Linked DNA regions of Saccharomyces cerevisiae S288C. The gene in region 4 interacts genetically with the main gene of each other region. Each region holds a gene or a part of one and is shown on either strand. Other genes may lie near its edges. The genes, in order: TAF13, BUR6, HAP1 and SSN2.

Region 1 (4,013 bases), on a different chromosome or scaffold from region 4:
GTAAAAATAACTTACCGCAGGAGACATTTTTTACTGATAACGATCGCTTCTAAAACTCGTTAGTACAGGCTCGTTGTGACTTAGAATCAAATAATAGATGGGTTAGGAGGCGCACGTACCTTCCTAAGCACAGAAGGGAGCTTAAGTTGCTGTTTCAGGCGGTGACTTAACAATACATCTTAACTATCCAATGCTGACAGCTGAGTATTGCAACACAACTATCAGAGGGAGGAGTTTGCCGTTACTAATGTAGCAGGGTTTTTGAATCTAAAAGAATAAATGTACCAGTTGAATCCTAAGATTTTACTTGGAAAAATATATAAATAAGAAAACAATGCATTCAAAATTGTGCCATTGTAATGACAAGTGTTTTTGTTCAGCACCAACGCAAACTCAAAACCCCTTTTATAGAGCAAACGCCTAATTAATAAATCAAAGGGACATATGTACTACGTATATCTGAATCAAGCCTACGTAAACGGGCCTGCCAAGTAGCTATATCATTTTTTTGTTTTCTTGAGGTTTTTAGGCCCCTGCTTCCTAATCTTTGTTGCCTTCGAATCTGTTGATTGTTTAGCGCTATTACGGCCCGCTGCTTCCTCATCATCATCCGTCACCTGCTGCTCATCCTCATCCTCTTCCATCTCGTCACCCTCTTCATCCTCTTCTCTGTACCTCTTTAATGAATTTTGATTGTCTGTCTCATTGAACTGCTTCTTAGCTTCCGTAATCAACTTATTAGTAGCTATCAGTTCTTCTGCTCTCCCAAGCTTTATCGGGTCTTTACGGAGGGCAAACTTGAAATCTTCCAATCGGAGCTTATTGCGCTGAGAATTCTGGGCTGTATGGAATGCGTTAGTACAAACATCCACCAAATATCCAGATACCAATTCATCCAAACACTGCACAGTAGCTTGTAGTGGCTGCGGCACATCGCCGTAAGCGTAAAGCAAGGAACTTACATCCTTGTTAAACAGATTCGTTTTTTTCAGCTTCCTAGACATATCTTATCCAGCTCACCCTCGCCTGCCGTTACCTTTTGGATTTCATGTTGCAGTTGTTGATGAACCTTCTTTGTTATCAATGACTCTTCGCCTGCGGTTTCCGCTAGAACTCAAAAATAAATGAAAAAAAAATACACCTTGCGAAAAGCATCTCTTTTAGATTTGATGCTTTAGTGGGCAATAGTTACCGATATCAGTACCTCGAAAATTTTAAGTTGCAGATATAATGGGAATTTCCAGCAAGAATGGCCCTAAAAAAATGGGAAGGGCAAAGACGTTTACTGGGTGTTGGACGTGCAGAGGAAGAAAAGTTAAGTGTGATCTTCGGCATCCCCACTGCCAACGATGTGAAAAGTCTAATTTGCCTTGTGGCGGTTATGATATCAAACTCCGGTGGTCTAAGCCTATGCAATTTGACCCGTACGGTGTCCCAATCCCACAAAATTCTCCTGCAACTACTACGAACTTATCAGGTAGTGTCGATGAACCACAATACCAACGACGGAACATCGATTTTGTGCGCTATGATGAAGAATACGTGTATCATGAAGATATGGATGATGAGCTAACAATGCTGCATACTCCCCCAATTGAGAAAATAAGCGATAACAAGACGTGGATCATAAAGAAATTTGGGGTGTTTAAAGGAACAGATAAGATCGACAAGCAGTACGCTCCAAGGAAGAAGCGCAATAGGAAAAGAGTTGCCAAAAGCTTGGAGAGCTCAGCTTCTATTTCGTTATCTTCTTTACCATCTTCTTCAACTATTTCCTTTCCAATTAGACATATTGAAGACAAGTTGAGAAATAAAGGGCATGTAAAGACAGGTATTCTCTCTGCTAATGATGGTGTTCCACCAACACCAAATCTTTTAGATTATGACTGGAACAATCTGAATATAACAGGTTACGAATGGATCTCGAGTGAACTCAGAGATGATGCATTATTGTCAGCGGTGACCTTACAGGGACATCACTTAGGACACACACAGCCACAAGAAATCTCATTAGAGGAAAACTCTAATGTCGTGAGTGGGGAAGAGCATGTGAATGCCAAAGAACATGGATGTGCCTTTGAGGCTGATAATCAAGGTTCATCAACTTTACCTAATAAAGCAGCCAGTGCCAATGATAAACTTTACCAGCAAAACTTGAAGTTACTCTTCCAGAAAAACTCTTCGAACAGTGAGGAACCAGACCCTCAAGCATTGATCGACGATGTGTTCGTCAATATTGAACCAAGATCTCTGCCCGCATCTGATCTGAATAAAATAACTCTAGCTCCTCCAAATGAAGAATCACGCATGCCTAAGTCCATGTTAGAACTCACATCCTATTCCAGTGACCTACCACCTGAATTGGTAGATATTATACCCAAAACAGACCTTACCGTACATGGTTTAGCGAGATTTCTTTTAAATCATTATTTTAATAATGTTGCAGATAAAATGACAGTGGTCGTGCTCGAAAAGAACCCATGGAAAACATTATACTTCCCCAGAGCCTTGATGGCATTAGGCGATTTAGCGGGTTTGGGACAATCCTCCAACTCGAGGAATGCGTTGTTGAATGCTCTTCTTGCTGTCTCTTGCTTCCACTTGCAAAGCAAGTACCCAAGGAACTACAAACTACAAAAATACTTTCTGGGCCTAGGTATCGAATTGAGAAATCAAGCCTCGAACTTTCTAAGATTATGTTTGAACACAAAATCAAGCATACCTGAGAAATATAAAGACGTACTAACTGCGATCTTATCTATGAACTCTATTGATGTTGTATGGGGGACGATGGCAGATTGCCAGGATCACTTGGCTCTTTGTGAAGACTTCGTTGAGTCAAGAATGAAACTAAGACCTAATATTTCTGAAAAGACAAAAACCTTACACAGGATTTTCTCGTTTCTGAAGTTAATTCAAGATAGCACTGCGTTGGATAAAGTCAGGGCAAAGGAAATTGTTATTTTACCAAGTGAAGAAGATGATAATTACAAACCATTAGATACATCTAACGCTACTACCAGTAGCAGTGAGCCAAGAGTTGACGTTGTGCAGGAAGGTTTATTTAGAGAGGCACTCAATGAAAATGACGGCAAAATACATATTGAATTCGTTAAGGAGCCTATCACAAACGTATCCGCTGACTCTACTCCATCTTCGACCACTCCTCCAATTTTTACCAACATAGCAACAGAAAGTTACTATAATAAATCTGATATATCTAAGCTAGTATCGAAGACTGATGAAAACATAATTGGTACAGATTCACTCTATGGATTGCCTAATTCATTAATATTACTATTTTCAGACTGTGTTAGGATAGTGAGACATAATGAATATTATAATTTAACTTACCTACCTGTACCCCGAAAATTTAATGAACTCTCGTTAAATTTCGAAAAAAGATTATTGAAATGGAAATCAGAATGGAACTTCCATCAAGAAAATTCGGAGGGAAAAAGCTTCATAAACTCAACGGCTGAAGCACTATATCACCATACAATGAGCTTTTATTTCAGTTTAATTATTTATTATTTTACAATGGCAAGAAGTTTAAATTGCCAATTTCTACAAAACTATGTTGCCAAAGTATTAGATCACTTAAATGCAATGGAAGAATTGGTGGATCAAAAAAAAGTGAAAATTGTCCCTTTAATTTGGCAAGGTTTCATGGCAGGATGTGCTTGCACAGATGAAAACAGACAGCAAGAGTTTAGAAGATGGGCAGCCAAATTAGCTGAAAGTGGAGTGGGCTCCTATTGGGGAGCCAGGCAAGTAATGTTGGAAGTTTGGAGGCGACGGAAAGAGGATGAGCCGGGCGATAATTGGTATTCTGTTTATAAAGATTGGGAAATGAATCTGATGCTATCATAAATATGTTATTTTTGGATTTTTCATGAATAGCCGGAGCCAGTAGCTGGAAGAGCTGTGTCTTGAAATAATTCTTTACAATACATATGCACATACCATAAAGTACAAATATATAAACGCCTTTAATTAGAATATTGGGCTTG
Region 2 (4,104 bases), on a different chromosome or scaffold from region 4:
TCGGGAATGGTCATTAAGGAGTGGCGTCTGGACGGGTTTGGTCTACAACGATATTGCGGGTGCGCATTGTGATCACTGGTAGTATGGTTGTTCATGTTCATGTTCATGTTCATGTTCATGTTCATATTCATATTCATATTCATATTCATGTTATCGTAGCGAGAGGGGCGATTTCTAGTTGAAGGCAGAGATGAAGTCGAGGAGGAAGCAAAGTTAGGTTTATTGTACTGGCGCATCGGTGCGCCATTACCATTATTGTCTGATCTATTAGCCACCAGAGTAGAGTGCCTCCTTGAGACGGTAGCATCCGGTATGTAGAACAGATCAATCGTAGACGCAGATCTAGCGTCCACAGCCCTAGGAATACTCAAAGAGTCTCTCCTTGAAGGAGAAGTGAGCGTGTGAAAATCATTACCATGCAAACTCCTCCTCGAGGAAGAACCCTGCTGTAACATGCTGATTAAGAGTGAGTGGAAGTAGTAGCGAGCGGTGGTGGCTATGTGTTTAGCCTGGTAAAATGAATCCTATTGTGTCAGCACGGAAAAAACAACAATAGCAATAATATGACAATAAACAAGTATTTTGCCGTAGCTCTCCTTCAGTTATTTGATGATGAGTGTAAACAGATTACTGTATATAGAGCAGTAGTAAAGAAAGCTGAAGTCAAGTGCAGATGAAAGACAAATACAAAAGGAGTACGCCTGTATTATATTTCCAAGTGCGTAATTTTGAGGTATTAATATTAAGTAATTATCAGAAGCAAGAAGCCAACAACCAGACCGCTTGGGCTTAAACTAGCATATCAGCACAATCTGCAAGTATACATTTCTTTGGTGTCTCGAACGCAACGCGGTGCAAACCGCGAGAACCTTAACGATTTTTCACACTCCTTCCTCCGTTGCTGCAAGAATCCTCGAGCTAGCCCTTCGTCCGCTTCCTTTGGCACTTGAAAGAAAAAATTAGCTTTTCTTTTTCCTCCTTTCTTTTTGTCTTTCTGGTGTAGGCACAGTTGGAAGGATGGGACACCTAAAAATCTTATTTAAGAAGTCACAGACGGTAACGCAGCGCCTCGTTTCTAAATCGTATAGCAGGCTGAGCGCCCGCACACCCACCTGCGGGAGTTACTCCGGGGATCGTATGGGGTGATGCATGCTCTTTCGTAAACCTTAAGAATAGCGTTAATTTTTTCCTAAATAGGAATACACATACTCATGCTATGTAACTGTAGAGAAAGGTACAGATTACATGAGGCGCCGGTTGTCGTTGATACATATGTGATTACGTTTCGTCCTTGATAATAGAGTATAATATATATGTGCAGACATATATAGATATAAATACATTGGTATATGGATATATATAGATGTGGTATTCATTTTACACTAAGTTACATCGCCCCGTTCTGCTCAGGCACTCTCTTCCTCCGGTTGTGTTTGGCCTTCTTCTACGCATAGACCTTCCCTTAAGAAATCGAATTTTTCGTCGTTTAAAATTGTTTTTTTTAGTATTTCGGCGGTTATTCTCTTGGTTCCTTGTCCTCTTGCCATCTCCCCGCTTTTTTTCACCAATAACGCTATAAAAAACTCTAGGGACCTGCCCGCTATTACGGGCGTGGCTTGTGAAACTTTTCCTATATCCTCGTCTGTCTGCATTATTTTCTTTACCTTGGCCGGAGGGAAGTGTGTCTTTATTCTGTCGAATACATCACCTAGCTCGTTGTTGTTATTCGAGTTGGTACCCATGTTACCTACTGGACTCCCTCCAGCATCAAGTGGTACCTCATGTTCAGGTTTTATTGGTGGTAGTTGTGTTGTAACTGGTACTTGATCTGCCATTAAGAATGTAGTGATGAGTACTGTAACTGGTTTTATTTTTTTTTTTGAATTTTTATTTTCGTGACGTGCTTTTTTTTCCGTTTTTGGTTTTAATGCCCCAAAATAAAATAATCCCCTTTTGTATACGTTTTTCTTTGCCTGCCTTTTTATTTCTCAGTGCATTGCCCTTTCTTTCGCAAATTCATGTGTTTTAAGGGTAATAGGAAATATCACGCTACCTGACAAAAAAAAAAAAAATTAATTTTGGCCTGGAAAATTCTTCTCCTTAAATACAAAAAGATTCTTTTTTATAGAATGTCATAATTCACGAACAGTTAAAAAAATATAAACACACAACGTAACACAGATGCCGGGTTACGATATCCGAAAAAGTTGATTAAAAGAAAAATAATCCTTCCCCGCCAGGACTTGAACCTGGAATCTTCTGGTTCGTAGCCAGACGCCGTGACCATTGGGCCACGAGGAATAGGATGTTCAGTGTGTTGTATTACGGGCTCGAGTAATACCGGAGTGTCTTGACAATCCTAATATAAACAGTCTTAGGGAAGTAACCAGTTGTCAAAACAGTTTATCAGATTAATTCACGGAATGTTACTTATCTTATATATTATATAAAATATGAATCATACTAAGTGGTGGAAGCGCGGAATCTCGGATCTAAACTAATTGTTCAGGCATTTATACTTTTGGGTAGTTCAGCTAGGGAAGGACGGGTTTTGTCTCATGTTGTTCGTTTTTCAATCCTTGCGTTTCAGCTTCCTCTAACATCGATGACAGCTTCTCATAACTTATGTCATCATCTTAACACCGTATATGATAATATATTGATAATATAACTATTAGTTGATAGACGATAGTGGATTTTTATTCCAACATACCACCCATAATGTAATAGATCTAATGAATCCATTTGTTTGTTAATAGTTTGAATGTTTTTATCGGAAGAGGTTTGGTCATTACGTCTGCAATATTCTTTTTGGTTTCGATATAGCATACGTGCAGATGATTTCCTGATACTTCATCTCTTAGTCTCATTGCTTTAGTACCAAAAAATCTGTTTCTAAATTTCTCTTCATTATTGGATATAATTATACTGATTGTAGATTTACTGTCGGTTAGTAATCCTTTAGTAATTGGTTTCTTGTTAAGTTCTTGCACAAGGTGACTGAGGTTATTTAATAATGGGACAGATTCACTTATCGCGTGTATTTCTGCTTCCGTAGTTGAAGTACATGTTAATGAAGCCTTGGTGGACTTTCCTCCAATTACTTTTCCATTAAGTAAATATATGTTGCCAATTTGTGATTTATAATACGGTTGGTTACCATACGATGCATCGCTTATAACAACTAATTTATTTGTTGGCTTAACAGGTTTGCTTTTGTGCCATATTAATTGCTTATCTCTCGTATTCCATATGAACTGTATCAATTCATATGTCATATCTAACACTTGCTTGGACGGAAATAGTATATGTTGTGCAAGTGTGTTGATGTAGTATAATAGGTCAAATCTAAATTTATATCCAACATATGATGCTAGACCTATCAGCTTTTGCATTTCATGTACCTTCATTTTGTAATCATCTTCTTCTAGCTCTAGTTCTTGCTGGTCTATATATAGACCTGGTTGACCTGGAGCGCTAAGTTTCCTTCCTTTTGGGTTCAAAGGTACGTTTAGTTTGGGTATTTTTTCAGTTAATGAGTTTTCCATACCTAATTTCATGTATTTACCTCTTTGATATTTGATTTCTAAGCCAAGTATGTCGTACTGAATTTCGTTATCACTTTCACCCAGATTTATTATCTTTGTATCGTATTGTTTCTTGAGTGTTGTTATGATTTTCTTATTTGCATTTAAGTCTTTGCTGAACAATATCATATCATCAACGAATAAGCAAATTGTTACTTGACTATTCTTAAATACGCATGACCATCCACGAACTTCTTCCATACCACACTGTTTTATCAGGTATGATTTGATAGTTTCGTACCAGTTCGCTCCACTTTGTTTCAATCCATAAAGTGATTTCTTCAAACGTATTAACTTATCATTCATTCCTAAATGTGGTGGAGGTCTTATGTATAGTTCTTCTTTGATGTCTGCATACAAATATGCCGAAGATATGTCTAATTGTGTAATATAGTAGTTATTGTCTAATGCAAGTGACAGGGATGTCATTAATGCATAGTGATGTACGGTATTGGATTGCATGCCTGGGTCGTAAGTGTCAGGATGTTGAATATCACCTCTTGCAACAAATCTAGCT
Region 3 (8,375 bases), on a different chromosome or scaffold from region 4:
GAATGCCATTATTGTTCAGTCTGTCGATAATGTTTGTGACTTTTGTTTCAAATGCATCTGCAGGTGTACTGCCATTATATTGCAAATTTGCCAGGGTCACAATGTCGTTTGCCTCTTGGGTATCAGATTGCATTTTTTCAATACTTTTGGAAAGAATTTTCATGATATCCGTATAATCAACGGATAGGATGTCTTTGACCCAGGTAGGTAGGAATTGAGAGGGAGCAAATATTTGAAAAGTGTTATACAAGAAGGTGAGTTCATCATCAGTGATCTGACGTACGGGTTTTCCGTTTACTGTCGGAATAATACCACCGAGATTCGAGTTTTGTAAAAATTTGATGTATGTTTTAACCCAATTTGGAAAGTCATTAGGTGAGGTTAACATTGGTGGTGGTCTGACATATTTTTTAGTGGATGTCATATCAGAGTCCGCTGAGGATGAATCAGTAAATGTATTACCTGACTCAGGTGATGGAGTGCTCAGAGGCGTTCCAACTGATGATGGATACTGCGGAAACTGTGATTGTGGCCCAGGTGGAAAGTACATAGGCGACATTTGATAAGGTGTATACGGAATCATAGATGGGTGTCCGTAAAATGACCAACCAGATGGATTGGCTTGGTTTTGGGTCATCATGCACTGCTGTGGGTACGGCCCATTCTGTGGAGGTGGTACTGAAGCAGGTTGAGGAGAGGCATGATGGGGGTTCTCTGGAACAGCTGATGAAGCAGGTGTTGTTGTCTGTTGAGAGTTAGCCTTAGTGGAAGCCTTCTCACATTCTTCTGTTTTGGAAGCTGAAACGTCTAACGGATCTTGATTTGTGTGGACTTCCTTAGAAGTAACCGAAGCACAGGCGCTACCATGAGAAATGTGTGGGTGTTGAGATAATTGTTGGGATTCCATTGTTGATAAAGGCTATAATATTAGGTATACAGAATATACTAGAAGTTCTCCTCGAGGATTTAGGAATCCATAAAAGGGAATCTGCAATTCTACACAATTCTATAAATATTATTATCATCGTTTTATATGTTAATATTCATTGATCCTATTACATTATCAATCCTTGCGTTTCAGCTTCCACTAATTTAGATGACTATTTCTCATCATTTGCGTCATCTTCTAACACCGTATATGATAATATACTAGTAACGTAAATACTAGTTAGTAGATGATAGTTGATTTTTATTCCAACACCATCAATTTCAACATTATCAACGGGTAGAAAATCAACCGCGTCATTTCTTCCAAGGTTATTAGGATCGTTGTATCCACCAACAACTTCTACCAGACTGGAAGGATTTATCATTAGCCCATTAAAGTTAGAATTTTGCATCAAAAAGTCTTCTAAGTCAGGTTTATACTGTGTAGCAGAATTGGATGCTAAGTCTGAGCCTTGTGGGCTTGTCAGTGTCGATAAAGCACTGCCGTTGGCACTTGTATCTGTATTCGCAGTTCCAGCTCCATTCATGTTCATATTCCCGTTTAAAGTTGAACTTGGAATTGTAGTATTAGCATTCATGAATGCACTTGTCATAGGCGTCATTTGCTTGATGGAGTTGTCAAATGCTTCATCTCTAGATGGGTCTGGCAAATTTATTTGATTAGTGGTGATCCTATCTAAAGATGGTAAAGCTCCCATTTGTGAAGTAATGTTGGTTAACGATGGAACCGTTGGAATGGTACCCCCGTTTAGCTGGTTCATGGAAAATGACGATAATAGTGGCTGCACCGATGATAGCCCATTTGAAGGTTTTGGGCTGATTCCTCTAGGTATATCGTTGTTACTATTATTATCAATATAGCCATCATTAAATCTTCTTCTCTTAGCTTCTGCCTCACCCGTTTCATTCATACGACGTAGATTACTACTTGTGTACGTGATAGGTTTGTATGATCTAATTGGTGGCAACTGGGTCCCTCCCATCCTAGCAGTAGAGCCCTGTAAGGACATGCCTTGCATCGGAGCAGAACCTTCATTAGCACCGGTTGGACTAACAAACCCCAGCGCATCTTGGTACACGGGGCATTTCTGTAATTGGTCTTTGTCACCAGCAAGAAATCCGCTCATGTTTGAAACCTTTGGATGTTTCCAATTACCCAACATGAATGAACTACCACCCGATTTCGAGTCTGATTTCTTTGAAGGTGTATCTAGTAAAGAGACAAAGAATCCAGTGGATTTGTTCATACGAATAGCGTAGTTGTACTTCTTTGATAGTTGTTTTGTTAGTTTTTGAAATAGCAGCATTCTTGACATTAGAATCTCTGCTAATGAATCGCCTGAATCCAAATTTACATCTTTCATGAAATCGTCTTTTTTCAATTCATCAGAAGATTCTTGTTTAACTTTGACGTCCTCATCTTCTACCGAACTATTAAATCCACTTGATGTACCATTAGTAATGATCGATGATTCACGCATACCAGTCAATGGGCCACATTTAGCTCTCAGGATCAAACAAACGATAAATTGTAAAGAACGATGTCCAATGTCCAAACAAGGGTAAGACAAGATAACATTCATGTAATCGAATAGTGAATTGGTGTTTCTGATATTGTTGAAGAAAATCATGCAGTTTCTGTAGCCATCCATGGCAAAATTTAATGCCTCTTGAGCGTACTCCTTAGCTAGGATATTAGTACCAGGATCTTCACTGCCCATTGGTTCATAATGAGTAAACAAAATGTAGTTCAATAAGTACAGCAACATTCTAATTGTCATATGCTTGGAAAAGAATAGAGCTCTCGTTGTAGATTCGTGAGGAAGGTCCAATTTCTTATCTATATCACTACTAGAAGTATTTCTTCCATCAGCATACAAGTTTTGGTTATGTTGACCATGGTTTAGAATATCGGGTAGTTTCGGTAGACCGTAAATTTCATCATTATTTGAATCTACAGAACCACCTTCCGAAGTTGGTAATAACCCTTTGTTGATCAAGGAGCTCACTACATCATTGACATTCTCAGTACCATAGGTCAGATTTTTCAATAAATTAATCAATGAATCCAGTTCAAATTTTCTCACGCTTCTTGCTAAAGAAACATTCAAAATGTGATTTAATACAGCAATAATACACAAATCAATTTGGAAAAAAAGAGTAAAATTCTTCACAATGATTAACTCTTTGATATCGCGAACATAATCAATCCTTGACGCACTTGGTAGCTTTGTATCGCTGAAATCCCTCAGATTTCTTAGTAGTCGAGGGCTCCCCAGGGAAAGAGATTGGTTAACATCCATGCTAACAATGTAATACCAAATTTTCCTCCAAGTGTGTTTAAATCTTTCGATACTAACCTGATTTTCCTTCTTGTTCACAGGGTTAGAACCACTTCTTGAATCAGCACTGCCAGATCTGCTACTGCTGTTGGTAGTGGCAGCAGACATGTTGTTATTCAAAGTTGGATTGGTGCTAGGGTTTGCCTTTTTGCTCCCGTTGTTAGACACGTCCTGGCTGGTTGCTGGAATGGTAGCGTTTAATTGAGGAAAATTATCAGGGTCTCTGTGTAACCCACAACTAAAGGCCATTTGAGTAATATTGGACAATAGGATCTGGTGAGACTCGGAATCGTGACCAGGATTGGCCATGCCAGTGTTGTTGGTATTTGTCAAGGTAGTCAAATCATTAGAGGCACTTTTCATATAGAAGTTGTAAAAAATGGCAAACTGCACCGTGGTTAAATTAACGTTGTTATTGGAAATACTAGAAAGTTCATCGAATTTAATCAAGTATTTTTGACATAGCTCCAGTGCCTCGACCGGTGTCTCATGCTTTAGCAGAAGTGATTCTTCTTTAGCCATCGAGGTCAATGCAGATGCAGACATATTGCTAGATTCGTTGGGCACTAAAAATGAGCCACTTTCTTCTCCCAGGTCGACTTCGCAGGAATTAGAAGGTATGGATAGCCATGTCAATCTCAAGATTATTATCAGAATACCTAAGTTACAAGAATCGGAAAGTTTTGGAAGATTGATTTGTGTTATGGGTTGGTTCTCTAGTGTAGATGAAGATGGCATGCTCATACCAAAGTTGTTAACTGTGGGATTCATCGAAGACAACGAAAGCATTTGATTCACGTGATTTTTGAAATTCTGTTCATCTAAGATTGGAATGGCAGGGTATAAATGTTTGAAGAATTTCTCGATGAATAATGCGATGACGCGCTTTGGTGGCAACATCTCACAAAGTGTTGCGAGGACTTCAGATTCTGTCATGTAGGAATCATGTTTCCTGCTTTGTGCGGGATGCGAACGAGCATGAGATCCGGACTGTGGTTGGTGGTGTGGGATGGTATTGTGCGTTGAAGCTGGTAAGGCCGCTGTATTTTTCATGCTTGAATGGTCAATGGGGCAACGACTTGCCGGGTTCGAAGAAGAATTTGCCATGTCAGAGGGATAATCCTTCATATAGTTTCTATGGTCCACAGGACATTTTGACTGAGGCGGATTCATTGTATGCTTGTTATGGTCTATCATAGCTTTAGTGGAAAATGGGGAAGGTGTCTCGTCCTTGGGCGGCATCATTCCTGCGGAATACATGGTGTGGTCAACGGGACACCTCTTCTGGGACGAAGTGTCCTCTCTGGGAGGAATCATTCCCGAAGAGAACATGGTGTGGTCAACTGGACATTTCCTAGGAAGAGGAGTCTCCTCCTTTGGGGCCACCATGCCAGACGAAAACGCGGAGTGATCAACAGGACATTTTCTGGTAGCGGCGGCAGCGGCAGAAGGCGGCGCTTGCGCGTGATTGATGGGACATTTGCTTGACTTCAGCTTAGAGTACGAATTTTTTTGGTAGTACCATTCATTTAACTTTTCCCTCATAGCGAAGATATGACCCCACAAAAGTTTTAGGTACGGGTCACCTTTCATGATAGACAACCAGTGGGTGGCACCTAAGTGGATGGTTCCGTTACTTTTGATATGCAAAAGATCAAAGTCCTTAGTTAAGTCCAGCTCATCGTTGTCATATTTATTTGAGATAGAAAGGGACGAGGAATTCGCGTTGGCGTTCGCACTTCTGGAAAAGTCTTGTTGTTGTTCCTGTTGCTGCTGTTGCTGTTGTTGCTGATGCATATGCGAGGCAGAGGAAGCAGAGCCTGTATTTGCATTAACAAGGGTGGTGTGTTCATCGCTACCCATAAACAGGTTGCTGCTCTCGGGAGTGTTGTAACTTTTCAAGGAGTTAGACGAAGGAGAAGAGTGCACCTTAGAAAGAGTCTTTTCTAAAGATTTTACGCGCTCCCTAAGCTTCTTTAATTCGTTGTCCTTCAGCAATTCTTTCTCTGCCTCTTCTGCCCAGGTCTGTTCCATGTAGTGGCAGAGATGGGCTACCCCAGTTTTAGTGCACTGCTGGCAGTGTGGTCTGAGTTTGTCACATTTGACTTTCCTTTTCCGACAAATGGTGCAACTGAGCGGAATTCTGTTACGCTTCCTCTTGATCTTGGACGAATCTGAAGACATGTGCAAGGGTGGAGAGTTAGAGCTGGTGTTGGCACCGGGCGTAGTTGCTGTATGCATGTTAGGACTTCTTGAGACCGAAGACTGGGTCATGGATGCAATGGAAGGCACAGATGAATTATAAGGGGTATTCGACATCTAACCTATTGTTCCCTTTTTTTTTTTTTCTTTTTCTTCTATTTCCTTACCTTCTTGCCTGCGACTGGAGAAAAACTAAAAGGCCAAATTGAAAGGGAAGAAAAATTTTCTGCGAAAACAAAACAAGATGCTTTGATAAAAGGAAGTTGATGGAATGAGGTTCGATGAGATGAAATCAGATACAATTTTGTGCAATATCTTCAAACCTTAAAAGAGCACTGCAGGAACCTATTCTTTGGGAGAACAATAGCGTCTGTGTGCTTGCGGTATCTTGAGTTGTGAGTCTCAAATGTGTGCTTTGCATCTCGAAGAATAATAGAAAAAACCGAAAACCGAAAAAAATTGTGCCTCAAGAGTATATCCGATATATATGAACGCGATCGAGTTACCGGGGCCGTTGCTGGTGCCGTTGCCTGGTATTCTAAACGAGGCCGCGAGGGTGGATTTCGCCCGACGGGTGAATGGGTGTGGGTGGAACGAGGATTGTATCGTTTAGACAGCCGAATTATTACCCGGTTACTCAACAAAAAGGGGCAAGCCAGACAGGTGCAGTGGCTCAGCCGTACAGCTCGTACTGTGGTTTGCTAATGCGCTGGGCGGTTGTTGAGATAAGAAGAAGAGGGAAAGGGAAAGGAAGAAAGAGGAAGAGAGAGAGAGAGAAAGGGCACACGAAATTCAGGATACGGCGGAGGAGTTATCTTTATTTTATACGGTCTTGCCTTGTAAGGCCCTACTCAAGCGGGAACAAGAAAAACAGTTGTAGCTTCCACAAGATGTTGGCTATAGAGATTGTTCTGTGCTTAAAGGCTCGCTAATCAATATTTCTTGAAGTACGATTTCTGTGTGTATAGATTCTCCACAATTGTTTTTCTTAGTGAGGCTCCGCCACGATCGCGTCTTGCCATCATCGTCCATCCATGGAAAAGAGCTACAAAAAACGACTGCTGGTGTACATACAATGCTCTGGGTTTCGTACATTTGCTTACTAAGTGACAGAAGCGTTCATCGATCCTTCGAAAAGGGTAACAGCGGAAAAACAGGAAATATTGGCTACATACTATAACTCAACAACGTATCATGAACTATTCCGCATATTCGTAACCTTATTTGTAGCGCAGTAAAGCCGCTAAAGAGGTCTTCTCCTATCGGATCTTGCTTTTTTCTTCCTTTTTTTTTTTTTTTTACAATAGAACAATAAAAAAACTGAACGTTCTCTATATCATCTGTGACGGCAAGTATCAATTATTTTATCAATTAGTTTGCAGAATCGGGAAAATTAATAACATTAGAAATGAAAGTTTTCATACATAAATTTGCAATTAAGGATGAAAAAGAGGGATAATAAGGGCTACAACAAACCACGAACGGCCGAAAGAACAATCCTCGCAAATTTAATTGGAATATCCAAGGGACATATACGTGCAACAATTGCGACTTTCCTATGGTGCCGAATTTGGATTTGGAAACAGCTATACAGATAATCTCCTCACTGGAGACCCAGTTGAGCGAGCTTGAAGGCGCCACGAAAGAATATGAAAATGATTTGGAACAAGTAATATCAAAGTTAAAAAGCGATCTTCTTGAGAGCCAACAACAAAATAAGTGCAATAAGAAACAGATAACAGATTTAGAGATACAGGTAGATGAGTTGGAAAATGAAAATATCCAACTGAGGAATAAGATAGAGACATTACAATTGGAGAGTGACCGACGACTGGAACGCAACGTTCTACTGGAACACGAGTTACTCGACACCAAAGAGGCGCTGCAAAAGTTAAGAGTCAGCAAAGAAGAAGCCACTAGCGGTGAGACTAGAAGGAACACCAGGTCGTTACCCAGTCAAAATAAAAAAATGAAGTTGTTTAAGGATACTATCAAAGTCTCGACCACATCTTCAACCTTGTACTTGCAGAACATGGCAAAAACTAACAACGCTGCAAGAAGTCACTGTAATATTCCAAATACCCAAATAACACAATCCACTGTGATAGCAACAACGTCTTCCGTTTAATGACACATATAAAATTGTTATATATAATTTTACGTATATATTTACAAGTAGAAAGAACGCTAACGATTTAAGATGACAACCAAGTCTTCGGAATAAATTTTTTCCACCACAACACAAAATCATAAAAATACAATTGATTAATACGCCTCTCATAGACTATCCAGTTTGTCAAGTTCTCCCACATCCATTTAATAGACCACCTCGCATACTCCGAATTAATTCTTTCCACTTTTTCGTCGTAGACCGTCTTGGCGCAGTATTGCGTCATGATCAGGAAAGTCCTCTCTGGCCCGAGTGGATTCTGTAGACATTCATCAAGATGTCTGGTTAGGTCGTTAGTCTTCAATATCAAAAGCACTACACGAGGGATTCTAGACAAAATGCTCATCAAGTCGCTCAGTAACGTTCCTTCCAAGATCCCATTTGCCATGACGTCCATTTCTTCTTGTGTTCGACTCGTTGAAATGTCGTAATTCAAAGCAGCATCAATGCTACGGCCCGTAATTGCAGCCGCTAAAAGGGGAAACTGTTCGTCGGTGATGTTTGCGAATCCTTTGGCATACTTCTTCATTTTTGTCTGGTCCTTGTCGAATAGGAGCGACAACCAAAATTTGGCATAAAGTCTTCTTGTTCTCGTGCTAGGATATCTATAGAGTCCGTGGTCAAATAAAACAATTTCAAAGTTATGGTATCCATTATCTTTAGCGGGCTTAACAGATCGTATGGCCAGATTTCCTCCATGAGGATCACAATGA
Region 4 (7,869 bases):
GTAATTCTTCCGGGTGATAAAGTTTATCATGAATGACTTCATCTTTCCTTACAGCCGGGTTTTTGATATACTCCTGATCTGGTATGGCAGCTGTCAATACCGATAATGCAGACAATACAGTATTGGCTTCTTTTGGAGGTTCGAACTTTTGACCATCAAGAAATACTCCTTGTTCATTATCCGAATCTGAGTTGGCTTCATTAGTTTGTCCTCTCTTATATTTATTTATTTTACTTCCGTGGATAACGGCCTGAGGTAAAGTCCACTGCAACGTCGCTTTTTTGTTTGGACTTTCTGCAGGAATCTCCCCGACGTTGTTACCATTTTCGTTTGAAGGTGATGATGCTCCACTACTCTCTGGGCTATCGGAGGACACAAACTCGCTTGAAGTTGGAGAGTTCTTATTTTTTTTCCTAATTTTCTGGACTTTGTGTATGCTTCGCCAATCCAGATACAAAAGTGCAGCAGTTCGTAATGGAACAATACCATCATCCATGACATTGGCATATATCGTTCTCCTCTTAAAAGACTCAAATACTTTTTTAGCCGGCGCCTGTGGAAGAATTTCTAATATGTACTTGGAATGTTCTGGGTACACTTCATCGTCTGCATACAACCCATCTTTGGACGTTAACGGTGTATATTTTAAATTCAAGTCCCTTCCTGTCAAACCAAGCGCGCCCATATCCAGTGGAACAGACAAATAAAAGGGGAAGTCGCCAATAACACCGATGAAAGGACTAGCTAACGTAATAAAATTAACGGGTTTAACACCTTTAACTGCATCAAAAAAATCTGGTCTTTTAATACTTATGTAACGCACCGCCATGGATTGAGTTGGCCCTCCTAGGGAATGGCCAATGAATGATATCCTGTCTACTTTGTACTTTTTATTCAACTTATCAACAGTCTCAAGCACATACTTTCCAACTCTAACGCCCAAGCAATGTATACCGTGACCTGATTTCCCGACGTTGCCCATAAAACCTCGAACAATTATATTCGGATTAATAGACTCATCCATAGGAAACGTCATTTCTTCAATTTTATCTTTCATATATAGCATATCACACCCGATATTAGAAAATATACCATGTGTCATAATAACGAGATGTACAGGCTTTTCTGGAAATTTTGGTGGTAAATCCCAAAGGGTTTCAGTATCCCACATCTCTAAAGAGACACCTTCAATACTCTTAAAGAGCCCATTCGATTTCTTGACCACCTTCCTTGTAGTCCCTATCCTAAACGAAAATTCCAGCTTCGGAATTGTGGTTACCGCCAACTGCGAAATTATATCTATTGTCCATGAATAAAGAGAAGTGTCGCCAACTCTAGAATTCTCATTCAATAATATTTTTACTTTAAATCTTTCGTCCGGCTTTAGATTTTCAACAAATGGAATAATTTCCTTCCCTGGAAACTTGCGATTCTCATTATAGTTATGCGGCCTAACATCGATGTAAAAAGAATATGGCCCCGTCAAATAAAGCGGTCGCAGAAGCGCGCTTTCCTCGTTCTTGATCCTCAAGAATAGATGCGATACATCTAGCCCTTGTTCCTTAATTACATCTTTGTTCACGGAAAACTTGTAGCGATATAACTCACCTATTCTTAATCTCTTCCGCTCATCAACCAATAAGGTACCTCCGGTTTCATTTATCTCGAGCGAATTTTTCATTCGGTTGATTTTGTAAGGCATTAAGGGATCGAACCAAAATGGAGCAATTCTTTTATAATAAGAAGATGAATAACAGCCGAGTAAGTGATTCTCCTCCGCATTTCCTGCTGTTCATTGTTTTATCATACTGAATAAACAATCCTTAGAAAATAGCATCGATATATTCGCGCTTAACAAAGCGAAGAATTGAAACATTTTTTCAGGTGGAGGGACCGGGTAGTGCCGGATCAAGTAGTGTAGTATTTATTGTAGTACACTCTTACAACAACCCTTTAAGACGAATGGTGTGAAATCGGAAATTACTTTGTTGAAGTAAGGTGTAACTATATTTTAAGAACGTTTAAGCTGGATATCAAGATCTGAGGAGGTAGTATGAGTTCTGACGCTTCCACGTACAGACTTGAGGATGTTTTATCCAGCTTCTATAGAGTGGAGAAAATCAAAAAGATCAACTATCATCAGTACATTTCTAAAGCCCAAAACGATCAATGGTCTATCCAAATGGAATTCATGCTACGGAAGCAGGATCCAAAGACTCTAGTTGCGCTGCTTTCAAGGGATTTATGGTGTTTCAGTATAAATGATGATCCGGTACCGACACCTCCTGCGATAGAACATAAACCAGTGAGCCCAGATAAAATCGGAACTTTCACTGCCGATTATTCAAAGCCAAACTTACCGCCACACTATGCTCTTTTTTTAAAAGCTTTAAGAAGGAAAATTTACATTAATTTGGCATTAGGTTCACACAATAAGCTAATACAATTTGGGAATGCCTGCATATCATTAAGCGGAGTGCCAAATTATCTCGTACAGCTAGAACCACACCTTTTTGTAAACGGAGATCTCACAGTGTCGTTATGTGCCAAGAACATGGGATTAGTACCAATGAAGGAGGAAAATTTGGAAGAATCTTTCCTTTCAAAGCATGCGCTTTATTTAGCACCATCTGGAATAAGGATGCATTTGGCCCCTGCTTCCAAGCAAGGATACTTGATAACGCCACCAAAACATACAGAACTTCTCTTGACGACGTTAAGTGTATCTCATGGTATAAACTTACAAAATAAAAAAAATTTGAAATGGGTTGCTGTTGTTCCTGACTTAGGACATCTCAACGGCCACACACCTACTATAGCTTCGTATTTAACTCCCTTACTTGAAGCAAAGAAGCTAGTATGGCCGCTGCATTTAATCTTCGCCCAACCAGTAGCTGATATAGAAAATTCTACTTCCGGAGATCCATCAGAATTTCACTGTTTGCAAGATGCTCTGGATGCCATTGATGATTTCATACAATTAAAGCAAACAGCTGCCTATAGGACTCCAGGAAGTTCCGGCGTATTGAGCAGTAATATTGCTGGTACAAATCCCTTAAGCTCAGATGGAGCATATACAGAACAGTTTCAACATTATAAGAACAACTCAATTAGTTCTCAACCCGCTTCTTATCATTCTGTCCAAGAAACTAATAAGATATCTCCGAAAGATTTCTCCCCTAATTTCACAGGCATTGATAAATTAATGCTGTCGCCCAGCGATCAATTTGCTCCAGCTTTCTTAAATACCCCTAATAATAACATCAATGAGAATGAATTATTTAATGATAGGAAACAAACTACAGTATCAAATGACTTAGAGAACAGCCCACTGAAAACGGAACTGGAGGCAAATGGTAGATCACTCGAAAAGGTAAATAATTCCGTGAGCAAGACAGGAAGCGTAGACACACTTCATAATAAAGAGGGAACACTGGAACAACGAGAACAGAACGAAAATCTGCCAAGTGATAAAAGTGACTCTATGGTAGACAAGGAATTGTTTGGTGAGGATGAGGATGAGGATTTATTTGGCGATAGCAATAAATCGAATTCTACAAACGAATCGAACAAAAGTATATCGGACGAAATTACCGAGGATATGTTCGAAATGTCTGATGAAGAAGAAAATAATAACAATAAAAGCATTAATAAAAATAACAAGGAAATGCATACTGATCTTGGTAAAGATATTCCATTTTTTCCCTCATCTGAAAAACCGAATATCCGTACGATGAGCGGAACTACAAAAAGATTAAATGGAAAGAGGAAATATTTGGATATTCCGATAGATGAAATGACCTTGCCAACGAGTCCATTATATATGGACCCAGGTGCGCCACTCCCTGTGGAAACACCCCGCGATAGACGCAAAAGTGTGTTCGCTCCACTGAATTTTAACCCCATAATAGAAAACAATGTTGATAACAAATACAAATCTGGAGGGAAATTTTCCTTCAGTCCGTTGCAAAAGGAGGAAGCATTAAACTTTGATATTTCTATGGCGGATCTTTCTAGCTCTGAAGAGGAAGAGGATGAAGAAGAGAACGGTAGCAGCGATGAGGATCTAAAGTCATTGAACGTACGCGACGACATGAAACCTTCTGATAACATCAGTACTAATACTAATATTCATGAGCCTCAATACATAAATTACTCTTCGATCCCAAGTCTACAAGACTCTATTATAAAGCAAGAAAATTTCAATTCAGTAAACGATGCTAATATCACTAGCAATAAGGAAGGCTTCAACTCTATTTGGAAAATTCCTCAAAATGATATACCACAGACCGAGTCACCACTGAAGACCGTTGATTCATCTATTCAACCCATAGAATCCAATATAAAGATGACCTTGGAAGATAATAATGTTACCAGTAATCCGTCCGAATTTACGCCGAATATGGTAAATTCTGAAATTTCTAACCTACCAAAAGACAAGAGTGGTATCCCCGAATTCACACCGGCGGACCCCAATTTATCTTTTGAATCATCAAGTAGTCTACCGTTTCTATTGAGACACATGCCGCTAGCATCTATACCGGACATTTTCATCACGCCTACTCCCGTTGTTACAATTTCAGAAAAAGAACAAGACATCTTAGATTTAATTGCAGAACAAGTCGTCACTGATTATAATATCTTAGGAAACCTCGGTATTCCAAAGATCGCCTATAGGGGAGTTAAAGATTGCCAAGAAGGTTTAATAACAACCACAATGTTACAGTTATTTTCCACTTTCGATAGATTAAATGGCAATGATACGATCTCCAAATTCTATAACATGAAGCAGCCGTACGTTTTTGTAAAGAAACATCACGAACTAATCAAAGTCAAACACGACTCTCAGCCATTTATTAAGTTCCTCAATTTTCGCCCTCCAAATGGAATAAAAAACTTCAAATCCTTATTATTAAGTTCATCTTTCAAAGAAGATTGTCTGTCATTTGCGCCAACTCTATCTCAAACATATATTAATCAAGAGTTAGGGTTTTGTGAGTTGCTTAAACTAACTAATGAAGACCCGCCCGGACTGATGTACTTGAAGGCATTTGATAAAAACAAGTTACTGTTGTTAGCTGCGCAGATTGTTTCATACTGTTCTAATAATAAGAACTCCATCAAAAACGTGCCACCAATATTAATAATTTTACCCTTGGATAATGCAACTCTGACTGAATTAGTAGACAAGGCGAATATTTTTCAGGTGATCAAGAACGAAGTTTGTGCCAAGATGCCTAACATTGAACTATATTTGAAAGTTATTCCTATGGATTTCATTAGAAACGTACTGGTGACAGTGGATCAGTACGTCAACGTAGCAATTTCTATATATAACATGCTGCCGCCAAAATCTGTAAAGTTCACCCACATTGCGCATACGCTGCCGGAGAAAGTGAATTTCAGAACCATGCAGCAACAGCAAATGCAACAGCAACAGCAACAGCAACAGCAGCAGCAGAATAACAGTACAGGATCATCTTCTATAATATATTATGACTCGTACATCCACCTGGCATACTCGCGTAGTGTAGATAAAGAGTGGGTTTTTGCAGCTCTTTCAGATAGCTATGGACAAGGCAGCATGACGAAAACGTGGTACGTCGGGAATTCCAGAGGAAAATTTGACGACGCATGTAATCAAATATGGAATATCGCCCTAAATTTAGCGTCTAAAAAATTCGGAAAAATATGTCTAATTTTAACTAGATTGAATGGCATACTGCCGGATGATGAATTGATGAATTGGAGGAGACTTTCTGGTAGGAATATACATCTTGCTGTGGTGTGTGTGGATGACAACTCTAAAATCTCCTTCATAGATGAGGACAAATTGTACCCTAGTTTCAAGCCGATCTACAAAGACACTAGGTTTGGAGGACGCATGGATATGACCAGATTATACGACTATGAAATAAGGGATATAGACCAGGACATCCATGGAATAGTATTTCAGCACCCGTTCCCACTGGCACACTCACAGCATCGCTGTGCTATTAGGAGTGGTGCTTTGATCAAATTCAAAAAATGCGACGGTGATACGGTTTGGGACAAATTCGCAGTCAACCTTTTAAACTGTCCACATTCTGATAGTACACAATTGCTGGAAACCATCTTAGAAGAGTTTCGCAACCTGGCTGCTCTAAACGTGTGGTACGGTCTCTCTGATGGCGAAGATGGCCATATTCCATGGCATATCCTAGCCGTGAAAAAAATGATGAACACTCTTGTGCACACCAGAGTAAAAATTGCTAATACTTCCGCCGCTACTGTGCATACCGCTACTTCTTCATCAATTATTCTCTCGGATAAATAAACTTTTTCCGGCAACGTTTTCCTGCTCATCTGTAGCCCTATTTACCAGTTTTGGTTTTAGTATTATTCCGGGGTGTAAACCCAGAAGTCTATTTCTCCAGTCGGATTTATAAAAACAAAACCGGAAGCGGGGCGGTACGGCATTTTCACTGGTGATGCACGCCCAGCGTGTAGTCCGAGACAATTTCCACAGAACGCGAATGAGATTGCGTTTAAGGCTGTATTTTCAAGGCACACGAAGCGGCCACGTGGGTCTGCGATGGTGTGTTGATGATGTCAAGAATGGTATCATACTCCGTATAAGGTTATGTAATCGGAAGTCGCGATTCTTTTTCAATTTTTTCTTTTTATTTTTTTCCAGTTTTTTCGTCTCTGCGATGGAAAATTGTTGAAGTTCTCTTGATTAGCAAGTAGTTCTTACATCGCAGGAATCTTATGTTGCATAGCTCAATTTACAAAAATAACAAGGATAAATATATATATATACGCATATACTTTTTGGGTGTTAAAGTAAATTTTGCACCCGTTCATACCAATCGTTCAGATAATTTTCGCTCCTTAAAAAAAGAGAGTGCGTGTGTATATGCCTGTTCATTGCCTGTCCGCCTCTCATTATGTCTATTTCTGAATCTTACGCAAAGGAAATAAAAACTGCATTTAGGCAGTTCACTGACTTTCCCATAGAGGGTGAGCAATTTGAGGATTTTTTACCTATTATTGGCAACCCCACGCTATTCCAAAAGTTGGTACACACGTTCAAGACGCATTTAGAAGAAAAGTTCGGCAAAGAAAAGATCGACTTTATTGCAGGTATAGAAGCTAGAGGCCTTCTATTTGGGCCATCCCTAGCACTGGCATTGGGAGTTGGATTTGTTCCAATAAGGAGAGTTGGAAAATTGCCGGGTGAGTGTGCTTCTATAACATTCACAAAATTAGACCATGAAGAAATTTTTGAAATGCAGGTTGAAGCCATTCCCTTTGATTCCAACGTGGTTGTCGTGGATGATGTTCTCGCCACCGGTGGAACGGCATATGCTGCGGGCGACCTTATCAGACAAGTGGGTGCTCATATTCTGGAATATGACTTTGTGCTAGTGTTAGATAGTCTACATGGTGAGGAGAAATTATCTGCTCCTATTTTTTCCATATTGCACTCCTGATTTAAATTTGTTCTCTGCCTCCTCCTTCAATTATTTTCCTTTCCTTCGCATATTGCTACTTTTTAGCTTGAACTTCTTTTGTTAATATAAACTGGTACTTTACTTTTTAGGTACCTGGTCCACGGCGCCTTATCCTTCTTTTAATTCATATTATTACCTACTCTTATTCTCTCCCTTTCTATTTTTTTATTTTTTGATTTTTATAAGTTACACTTGTGTACATGTTATTTCTACTTAGTTATTCATACTCATCGTTAAAAGCCGTTCAAAGTGCCTCATCTGGTATACTTCACCGGCGTACCTCTGTTCCTCCTACCTCTTGCAGCAGGGCTGAATAAACTTTCGTCCACATCCTCCATCACTGTTGATATATAATACTCTCCGCCACTATGCG

What was found.
Region 1: mutations in SSN2 (region 4) and TAF13 together harm fitness more than expected from each alone (negative genetic interaction), as found in Saccharomyces cerevisiae (2 studies listed by BioGRID).
Region 2: of SSN2 (region 4) and BUR6, a mutation in one rescues a mutant of the other (synthetic rescue), as found in Saccharomyces cerevisiae (one study listed by BioGRID).
Region 3: of SSN2 (region 4) and HAP1, a mutation in one rescues a mutant of the other (synthetic rescue), as found in Saccharomyces cerevisiae (one study listed by BioGRID).

What each region holds. Positions count from the first base shown.
Region 1 is NC_001145.3:74,258-78,270, reverse strand, and holds TAF13 (Taf13p), read right to left. Parts: upstream 1,005-4,013; coding exon 501-1,004; downstream 1-500. Other genes in the region: ARG81 (Arg81p), read left to right, coding at 1,231-3,873. UniProt on the Saccharomyces cerevisiae protein: Functions as a component of the DNA-binding general transcription factor complex TFIID. Binding of TFIID to a promoter (with or without TATA element) is the initial step in pre-initiation complex (PIC) formation.
Region 2 is NC_001137.3:490,124-494,227, forward strand, and holds BUR6 (negative cofactor 2 transcription regulator complex subunit BUR6), read right to left. Parts: upstream 1,836-4,104; coding exon 1,407-1,835; downstream 1-1,406. Other genes in the region: YER158C (uncharacterized protein), read right to left, coding at 1-455. UniProt on the Saccharomyces cerevisiae protein: Component of the NC2 complex which represses RNA polymerase II transcription through binding to SPT15/TBP and thereby inhibiting the assembly of the preinitiation complex.
Region 3 is NC_001144.5:643,649-652,023, reverse strand, and holds HAP1 (Hap1p), read right to left. Parts: upstream 5,610-8,375; coding exon 1,101-5,609; downstream 1-1,100. Other genes in the region: YLR256W-A (gag protein), read right to left, coding at 1-907; YLR255C (uncharacterized protein), read left to right, coding at 6,071-6,424; NDL1 (Ndl1p), read left to right, coding at 7,051-7,620; CQD2 (Cqd2p), read right to left, coding at 7,688-8,375. UniProt on the Saccharomyces cerevisiae protein: Regulation of oxygen dependent gene expression. It modulates the expression of Iso-1 (CYP1) and Iso-2 (CYP3) cytochrome c.
Region 4 is NC_001136.10:1,344,123-1,351,991, reverse strand, and holds SSN2 (Ssn2p), read left to right. Parts: upstream 1-2,053; coding exon 2,054-6,316; downstream 6,317-7,869. Other genes in the region: YDR444W (putative hydrolase), read right to left, coding at 1-1,702; adenine phosphoribosyltransferase APT2, read left to right, coding at 6,930-7,475; histone methyltransferase DOT1, read right to left, coding at 7,751-7,869. UniProt on the Saccharomyces cerevisiae protein: Component of the SRB8-11 complex. The SRB8-11 complex is a regulatory module of the Mediator complex which is itself involved in regulation of basal and activated RNA polymerase II-dependent transcription.